Arabidopsis thaliana: one gene and its partner. The protein of the gene in region 1 interacts with the protein of each later gene in a biochemical or structural test. Each region holds a gene or a part of one and is shown in the gene's direction. Other genes may lie near its edges.

Evidence for each region.
Region 2: the proteins of DNMT2 (region 1) and HD2B form a complex in vitro, tested with the Arabidopsis thaliana proteins (one study listed by BioGRID).

What each region holds. Positions count from the first base shown.
Region 1 is NC_003076.8:8,869,148-8,874,036, reverse strand, and holds DNMT2 (DNA methyltransferase-2), read left to right. Parts: upstream 1-1,774; 5' UTR 1,775-1,837; coding exon 1,838-1,918; intron 1,919-2,001; coding exon 2,002-2,112; intron 2,113-2,235; coding exon 2,236-2,329; intron 2,330-2,405; coding exon 2,406-2,524; intron 2,525-2,624; coding exon 2,625-2,747; intron 2,748-2,954; coding exon 2,955-3,374; intron 3,375-3,463; coding exon 3,464-3,529; intron 3,530-3,623; coding exon 3,624-3,688; intron 3,689-3,895; coding exon 3,896-3,968; 3' UTR 3,969-4,172; downstream 4,173-4,889. Other genes in the region: AT5G25475 (AP2/B3-like transcriptional factor family protein), read left to right, coding at 4,545-4,646.
Region 2 is NC_003076.8:7,532,380-7,537,306, forward strand, and holds HD2B (histone deacetylase 2B), read left to right. Parts: upstream 1-1,566; 5' UTR 1,567-1,740; coding exon 1,741-1,753; intron 1,754-2,013; coding exon 2,014-2,084; intron 2,085-2,174; coding exon 2,175-2,383; intron 2,384-2,513; coding exon 2,514-2,593; intron 2,594-2,678; coding exon 2,679-2,830; intron 2,831-2,944; coding exon 2,945-3,025; intron 3,026-3,125; coding exon 3,126-3,234; intron 3,235-3,375; coding exon 3,376-3,502; intron 3,503-3,596; coding exon 3,597-3,675; 3' UTR 3,676-3,948; downstream 3,949-4,927. Other genes in the region: emb1211 (MORN (Membrane Occupation and Recognition Nexus) repeat-containing protein), read left to right, coding at 5-771, 855-1,262; AT5G22660 (FBD, F-box, Skp2-like and Leucine Rich Repeat domains containing protein), read right to left, coding at 3,949-4,236, 4,327-4,467, 4,551-4,927.

The sequences.
Region 1 (4,889 bases):
TGCATCATCACTTATCTCCCCCTTCTCCAAAGTTCTAGATGTCATATGATTTCCCCACGTCTTTTATTTAGGATGATACAATTATCTATGCATTTGATCATTCGCAAGGACGATTAGCTGAATTCAATTGTATGTTAAGAAAATAAATTACAGGACTAAGTTGAAGATGTAGCTGCTGCTGATGAAAGTGTTGAATGATACAAGAAGTAATACATGATTTTATCTGATAAAATTGCTGAATGATTCAAGAAATAATTCAGGATGCGACAGTTTTGTGTGAGTATCGGTTTCTAGAAGATTTGAGAAGAGCGTGTTTAGAGGATGAATCAAAAAAGAAAAAGGACTTAAAGAGATTTGGAAGACTTGATGAAAGTGGAGTTTGATGAGAAAAAGGATAAGAGTAAATTTACTTTTTCTTATGGAAAAAGGAAATCTTCTCCTATGGTGATTAGGAAATCGTTTTGGCTACATAAGGAGGAGGTAGGACGTCTTGGAGAGGCAGGAGAGCTGAGACATAAAGACAAATCATTGAGAGCTTTCTAAGGGTGTGTGCGACATAGTTTCACGGTTTTATGCGACATAGTTTCGCGGGTTTGGTGCTTGTGTGATCAAGCTTGTTTGTTGGTGCGTGAAGGTTATTCCAGAGACTTGGAGAATTGAAGTCTAGGCTCAGAAGGAGTTTAACTCAGGGTTAGGTTATCCTGATTAAATCTAGACTCAGGGGAGTTTAGTTAAGGGTAGAGATTATCCTTAAGGTTTCACGTTTATAGAAGGGAGCGGTAAATCAAGAGGGGTGTGCTTGTTTTACGCGTTTGCGAATTCATTGTAATTTGCTTTCTTGTTCTAGTGAAATCGAAATCTGGACGTGGTCCCGGGGAGTAGGAAAAACCGAACCTCGTTAACAAATTTCTTATCTCTTTACTTTCTGCACTTTATTATTACCTCATCCGCACTTACATAAGTAGTAATCAAAAATCTCAACTAATACGATGGCGACCGAAATGTTTTTAGAAAGTTAATTTATCTACTTACATATGATCAATAATGCAAGAGTAATTAATTCCTCGCATATGAATGGAGATCAAATAGATAGTGTTTGTAGGTTCCGTGTTCGCGTATCGAAATAAAAAAATCAATTCCTAAATTTCTAGATTGTAGTTTGGGTCTTTCTCAATTTTATTGTAAATCAACTTTGTACCTCACTCTAACTATGAATTACTTATAAAATATTTCTATCAATCCTTTTCAATCTCACTAAAACCATCCAAACAAACCTACGTGGAATCAAAGTTCATATAGTATGAACATGAAGAACACTAGAAGGTCCAAAGATTCAGCCTAGATCAATGTTAGCTAGAGTCTTTTTTGTTTGTTTGTTAATTTGTTGATTGTTAGCTAATTTTATATCCCCATGAAATGAAAGATTAGACATAAAAAACCCACAACATACTTTCACACATACTAAAAAGCAAAGTGTTTGATATGCCATGTAATTCCCCAAAATAACATATCCTTAACCTTAATATATAAAACAGTGGTAACTAAAATTGGTTAACGAAAAAAAAAACAAAAATTGGTTAAGGATTGTTTTTTATTTTTTGTAAGTTGAGGGTTATTTTGAAACATATTGGCTAGTTTGAGGGTTTTCTTGCTAATTAATAAAGAAAAACGACAAAAAACAAAAAACATGGTTCTAACAATAAACCGAACAAGCGTGGTATGGTTCTATTACTAAACAGAACAATATAAAAAAACGGTTTAATTTACCCAAACGAATAAGAACAATAACCAAAAACTCCCAAATTAATTTTGCTTAAGCAGCAGCAGAAGAAGAAGCATGGCGGAACAAGAATTACAGAGAATCAATGAGAAGAAGCCATGGCAAGTTCTCGAGTTCTACAGTGGAATCGGTGGAATGGTAACAGTCTCCTTCACCTCCAATTCTATGTTTTTAGTGAAGTCTACTCTGTCTCATAAACCCTAATTCCTTTTTGCTCTTAGAGATACTCTTTAATGGCGTCAGGCATCGTCTCAGAAGTAGTAGAAGCTTTTGAGATCAATGATTCTGCTAATGATGTTTATCAACATAATTTCAAACATCGTCCCTATCAGGTTGCTTAATGCTTATATATGATATAATCAATAGAAGCATTGTTACATTTGCAAATCATAGATGATGCTAGTTCTGTGACTTAGTCCATGATTAGTTCTTATTGTTTTGGTTGTTTTTCATAGGGGAATATTCAGAGTCTCACTGCTGCTGATTTAGATAAGTATAATGCAGATGCTTGGCTTCTTTCTCCTCCTTGTCAACCTTATACTAGACAAGGTGATTCATTTCACTGTTGTTTTCTTTACTATCAACATGACTTGCTTTTGGATACTAACAGTTTTTTTTTGGTTAGGCCTTCAGAAACACTCTGGTGATGCTCGGGCTTTTTCGTTTCTCAGGATTCTTGAGCTTATACCGCATACAACAAAGCCTCCACAAATGTTATTTGTAGAGAATGTTGTTGGATTTGAGGTATAGTGTTTGCTTATGCTTCCCAGCTAGAGTACTTGTTCTCGATCATCTTCTTTGAAGTCGTGACATTTTTGCTTATTGGTGGTGTTTGTTGGTGCAGACTTCGGATACACATATGGAAATGATTGGTACATTAACAAAATTAGATTATGTCACACAAGAGTTTATATTGAGTCCGCTGCAGTTTGGTGTGCCGTATTCAAGACCACGTTATTTCTGCCTGGTACTTTCTCTTTACCTTATGATTGCGTAGTGCATATCTGTGTACCTAAAACTGTTAATTTTAGTAGTCTGAGAATGTATAAGTATATGCTGATTATGAAACTTTCTCATGTAGTGTGCACTTTCTCATGTATATGCGTTAATCTTTTTGTTTTAGTTAAAACGTCACTAACTTTGAAATCATTTGATTTACCTGGTGTCTTTGTAGGCCAAAAGAAAACCTCTGCCATTTAAGTCCCAACACAGTAATAACAAACTACTCTGGTCTCCAGACCCGTTATATGGGCGTGATGATCAGGTTGAGTTTGGAAAATGTCAAGCAGAAGAAGGATTGGATAAATTACTTGAGTTTTGCAAACCAGTAGAGAAGTTTCTCGAGTTAGCTGCACATGTTGATGGCGAGCCAAGTAGTGTTGATGACTCTGAAAATGGGTCCAAAGATTGTTGTGGACAAGAAGGCGATTCTGTCCCAGACTCTGTACATCAGTATCTAGTACCAGTTAGTTTGATAGAGAGATGGGGAAACGCAATGGACATTGTTTACCCTGATTCAAAGAGATGTTGTTGTTTCACAAAGAGTTATTATCGATACGTGAAGGGCACAGGTTCCCTATTGGCAACTGTCCAGGTACGTTCTTCCATGGAGTATACAATATTACTTTCCTCTGTATTTGCAAAGTGAAAAGAAATGCTTATCGTGAATCTGTGATCACGCAGCCAAAAATCAAGGGTAAGGAATCTTGTTTGAAGGAGCAACGGCTTAGATACTTCACCCCTAGAGAGGTTAAGCACTGTCCTTTACTTTTACTACTAATGCCTCACTGAAAAAGTCAGCTTTATTTCATTGAAAGATGATGTTCGGTTTCTATTTGTTTAGGTAGCTAACTTTCACTCATTCCCTGAAGATTTTGAGTTCCCCAAGCACATAAGCCTTCGACAAAGGTACGCTGTTCATACCGTCAACACCATCTAAGCCAGAAAAAGCTACTGTCTATATAGATTATGTGCATCCAAGTATAACAGAGGCACCGTTTTGATTCGAATATAGAATTTAACCCATAATACCCTTATTTCTCCCGTACTTCCTGTTTGAAATGTGGAAATAGTTGAACACAAGAACATGAATCTCATGAACTCCTCTTTGTGCAGATACGCAATGCTTGGAAACAGTTTAAGTGTAGCAGTGGTGGCTCCTCTGCTTCGGTATCTATTCGATTCTTGACTACACAATTTGATGCACTAAGTGACGCGACCAATTACCGGAATCAGTTATTCTCCTGAACAAGCTTCTACTACTTTTTTGTTTACTGATAAAGTTCAAACTGATGAACTTACGTTTTGTTATCGATCCTTAACTTTATGGGCCAGTATTTTAAATGGGCCTTATTCGGCCCGTTAATCATAATTTCTTACCCAAATTTCCGTAAAAAGTGACCATAATATTGGCATGAGACATGAGTCTTTTGACTGTCTCTCTCTCTCTCTCAGTCACTTTAAATTATTTGAGCAGCCGCAGCGAGAGGAAGTTTTCTTCAACTGCGACGGAGCGTGAAGTTCACGCTCCGGCGGTACTACCTAAGGTTTGTCGTTAGGGACGTTACTTTTACGTTATTACTTGCTTCTTCGCCACTTTTCTTCATTTTTTCCGACCAGAGATATTTTGTTCCTCCTTGTACGTACAAAGTGTTTGTTCTTTTTTTACTTTTCCAATTTTTTGGCTCTAATTTTATGAACAAATGCAAGTAGGTCATCATACAAACCCTAATTTTGCAGAACTGATCCAGCTTTGAAAAGAAAAATGTTGCCTAAGAATGCTATTGAGAAGATCCAAGCAAATGTGAGCAAGCCTTGCTTCTGGAAGTCTCTCTCTCCAGGACAAACTTGGAAATCTAAATCCATGGTAACTTCAATTATGACTCACTCCTCCTTTGATATTTACTCACTGTTCTTAGACTCTTTCTATTGAATTTGCTTTGTTACAAGTTTATAGCTTTGGATGTTGTTGCTAGAACAGTAAGATGTGATAATCCTTTCATGTTTAGTTTAGCCCTTTTATAGACAAGTTATTACAGAACTACCCGTTTGTTGTTGTTTGAAAAAGTTCAGATCTTTTCTTCTTTTAAGAAACTTTGGAGACATTCTA
Region 2 (4,927 bases), 1.3 Mb from region 1:
TCAGTGGAGGTGACACCGGAGTTTGTTTTACTGAACAAAGAACCTGAACCTGATCCAAATGATCCTTCAAAACTTGTCCAGAAGGAGGACCCTGTTATTTTACATACACCAACAGGTCGAATAATCAACTATGTAGAGGATGAAAAGCATGGCATTCGACTATTTTGGCAGCCTCCTCTGGAGGAAGGAGAAGAAGTGGATCCTTCAAAAGTTGAGTTTCTGCCACTTGGGTTCGACGAGTTCTATGGGAAAGAAGTGGTAGTGAAAAAGGAACACCCAATAAAAAGCTTTGTACTTGGAATCGAGAAATCGGTGAAGCCGATGCTTGACGGATTAGAGAAATGGACAGAAGAGAAAAAGAAAGCATATGAGGAGAGAAAGGAGATGATACAGCAAGAACTTGAGTTAGTAGAGGCTGAGATTTGCTTAGAGGAAGCTATAGAAGATATGGATGAAGAATTGAAGAAGAAAGAACAAGAAGAGGAAAAGAAAACTGAAATGGGTTTAACTGAAGAGGATGAAGATGTTTTGGTCCCGGTTTATAAAGAAGAGAAAGTTGTCACTGCCAAAGAGAAGATACAAGAGAATAAACAAGAAGAGAAATACAAAGATGATGATGATGAGGATGATGACGATGGTGATGATGATGACGATGATGATGATGATGATGATCTTGGGCCATCAAGTTTTGGATCTGCAGACAAGGGAAGGAGGAATTCTCCTTTTTCTTCATCCTCATTGTCTTTTGCTTCGTGTACCCTCTTTCCTGCGGTAATACTCTCTCTTATTTTTCAGTATAATCTCGGTTTGTCTCGATTAGAAGAAGTTAGTGTTGATATATGTAAACTTGGCAGGTACAATCAAGACTAGAAAGCTCATTTCTAGCATGGAAGCAACATCGAGCAGAACCATCAAAAGTGAACACAGGAATCATCAAAGGTGCTGATACCGCATCAGCTTCAATCCATTTTCCTCCATTGTCGAGTAACAATGCTAGATTGAAGATGGGAAAGGTAGCAAACCGAGGTTGTGTCCAGAGAAGCTATGGAAGCTCAAGATCTCAGTCTCAGTTAATGTCTCTATCACGACTACTTTCTTGCAACGCATCATCATCTTCTTCTCCTCCCGATAGCAGCTCCAGTGAATACCTCAAAGACTCCGGCCTCTGGGAAACACCGGTTGGGGACATGAGCGTGGTTTTGTCGCTGCAAATTCAGACAAAATGTTCTGATTTGTTTGCTGAGACTCCTGCTGTGTCTTGAGTCTCTCTTCTTCTGTAGCATTTAGCTCGAGTTCTTATGCACTTCAAGGCTTCTTTTTTTGGTGGACAAGATCATTTGAATTTTTGTTGTATTATCTAATAAATATTTTACCGAAACTATTTAAACGAAAAAACTGAAGATTTATTTCTGTTTTATTTTTCATAATCATATGATTTAGAGAATGAGAATCGAATAATCTCAGAATATTTAAGTTAATATTTCATTTATCAATTTAGAATCTTTACCAAATATGCAAATAATTTTACATTAACGCAAATATTCCAAAATAAAGGAAGCGTTACGAAATTAAGGGCAAAACGACGCCGTGTAGACTCTCGAAGAACCCTAAAGAGACTTCTTAAACCTCATTCGATTATAAAATAGCCCCAAACCCACTGCCTCTTTCACTGCAATTTCTCTCTTTCGCTTCTAAAAAAAAACCTAACAACCTCTCTTCTCTCTTCCTCGTTCAACAACAATGGAGTTCTGGGGTAAGATTCTTTATTTATTCCTCTTATATCTTCCGTCTACTGTTTCTATTTTCCACGTTCCGAGAATTTTGATCGATTGTTCATATAAGATCGTATTTAGCTGTATTTCGTGTATATGTTCATACCTTGTTGCCTTTGTAGCTTATTTAGGGTTTAGGTTTCACATAGAGCTTGGTTTCGGTATCAGCTTTGATTATGTGTAGATGTTTTACAAGTTGATGAGTGACTCATGTTTGATTTCTTTGTATAATGTTATTTAGGAGTTGCGGTGACACCAAAAAACGCTACTAAGGTGACTCCTGAAGAAGACAGCCTTGTCCACATTTCTCAGGTTATTTTCACACTTCCAAACTGTATAAAGTTTTTAGGATTTAGCTTAATACAGTCTCTTTATGTTTTGGTTCTCTTTCTTTATGTGTAGGCTTCACTTGACTGCACAGTGAAATCTGGAGAATCTGTGGTTTTGAGTGTGACTGTTGGTGGGGCTAAACTTGTTATTGGAACACTTTCACAAGACAAGTTCCCTCAGATTAGCTTTGATTTGGTTTTTGATAAAGAGTTTGAGCTTTCACACAGCGGTACCAAAGCAAATGTTCATTTCATTGGCTACAAATCCCCCAACATCGAGCAATATCCTTTTTTTGATAGATTTGACTAGGTGTTCTTTGTCTCTATATTTAAGACTGGAAGATACTAGAAGGTTTAGCTACAATGTCTTATTGGTTGTGTATTCCTTAATTCTTGTTGATTGAGTTTCCACGGATGACTTCACTAGTTCGGATGATGAGGATGTTCCTGAAGCTGTTCCTGCTCCTGCCCCTACTGCTGTTACTGCCAACGGTATGTGTTGTTGATGCTAATATTGTATTTGTTTCTTTTATTGAAAAGTTGTTATCTCATATGTCAATTTCTTTTGACATTTCAGGAAATGCTGGAGCAGCTGTTGTCAAGGCTGACACAAAGCCAAAGGCCAAACCTGCCGAAGTGAAGCCTGCAGAAGAGAAGCCTGAATCAGACGAGGAAGATGAGTCTGATGATGAAGATGAGTCTGAAGAGGATGATGACTCTGAGAAAGGAGTGAGTTTTTGTAGCTGTTTATGATATCTGTTTTTCTATCTAGAGTACTCATATATACAGTCAGGAGAAGATGAGTAGTTGGTTGATAAATTATATGGTGATGTTTTTTTGTAGATGGATGTTGATGAAGATGACTCAGATGATGACGAGGAGGAGGATTCTGAGGATGAAGAAGAGGAGGAGACTCCTAAGAAGGTAGATACATTGTCTATCAAGCAGTTCTTTGTTTACTTTACTTTTTACATAATTTAATTCTCCTTCTGACCTTAATTGTATCATATGATTTGTGTTAAAGCCTGAGCCAATCAACAAGAAGAGGCCAAATGAATCTGTATCCAAAACACCCGTCTCTGGAAAGAAGGCAAAACCAGCAGCAGCACCAGCTTCTACTCCTCAGAAGACAGGTGAAAAGATGAAACTCTCTTTGTTTTTGTTCCTTAGAAGCATTAGATAGTTAAATAATGAGAAAGCTTTCTTAGTAATTTGTTGTATACTCTGTTGTATTCTGACGAAAGAGATATCTTCACATTGTGTTGTTGGTACAGAAGAGAAGAAGAAAGGAGGACACACCGCCACACCACACCCAGCTAAGAAGGGTGGAAAGTCTCCTGTGAATGCTAACCAGAGCCCCAAGTCTGGAGGTCAATCATCCGGTGGTAACAACAACAAGAAGTGAGTTGTCTCTTTCTTTATCTTTCTCATAGCCCAAAGATATGAGTGAAAATGTTAATTGGTAATGATGTGTAATGGTATTGTGTGTGTACAGGCCATTCAACTCAGGCAAACAATTTGGTGGTTCCAACAACAAGGGTTCTAACAAGGGCAAGGGAAAGGGTAGAGCTTAAGGACGTGGATCAAGGAGAGGTTTTGGGTTTTCGAGTAGATGATGAAAACACTTGGAAGTGTGGTTTTGGATTTTTATCTTATTTTATTAGTATAACTTGTTATCGGATGAGCTATTTTGAGTATTTGCAATTTCTACTTTCCTATGTAATTCAGTATATGAATATTTGCTGAAATGAGAAAGAAGACTCGAATTGCAAACACAAATTGAGTTTATTACTTATAGAGTATAAACACCAAAATTGATGCATAATAGCCAAATCAAATTACCAAGCCTATCTTTGAAATCTAACAACGTTGATTTCACAAGCACTAGAACATCTCTGGAATGTCATGAGTTCCCTAACGACGAGAGACTCTTGTTCCTCGCTATGACAATCTCTGCATAGCTTAAACTTCTTGAGGACTAGCGAATTCTCAAGGAAATATTTTGATAGTTTCATCTCTTCTCCACTTCCATAGTTTGGTCGTATAATCTCAACATTCTCAAGGCTTGATTGCAAACACTTCGGCACTGATGATGATAGACTGATTTCTTCATTTTCCATTTCACCTTTCAGCTTCTGCATATGTCAATTATCCCAAACAGTTGAATAAACGTCTTTTATAACAGTGACAATGAAACATGTGGTTTTTAAAGCAAAATCATTTACCAAGACAAGTGATTTGAGATTTGGACAGCTCTCAAGAACGCATGGCAACATTTCCAAATCACAAACATAGAATTTCGCATGTAACCGCGTCATGTTACGAAACTGAGGCATCGGCTCGTGCTTCAAGTAGTGACAAATGATCTGCAAAACACAAAGAAAATGCAGTTTTCATCCTAAGAGACACATTCAAATGACCAGTTTTATATATTTGTATGCATATATACCTTCAAAGTTGTTCCACTAATAGTCATGTCCCTTAAGCTTGAGAGCCCGGTGAGAAATTTACCGACATTGCTTCTCTCGAACGACTCCTCTAGATCCCAAATATCGGACACATTAAAACTGACCTTGATATCTGCCTTTGCAGATGAACACAAATTGTTTATCACAAAACTCACTGACTGATCATCTTTAAGACTTAGATACACGAGCTGAGGAGCATCAATGACAACCTTCCAATCGTCACTATCATCATTATACCAACACTTGGAACTATCAATAACGAGTTTGAGACTGTTTAGTGACTGAGAGCTCACCCTTAAAACCTTCTCAGTGGCTTCATCTACATTTCTAACAACAGTTAAATCTTCAAGAACCGGGC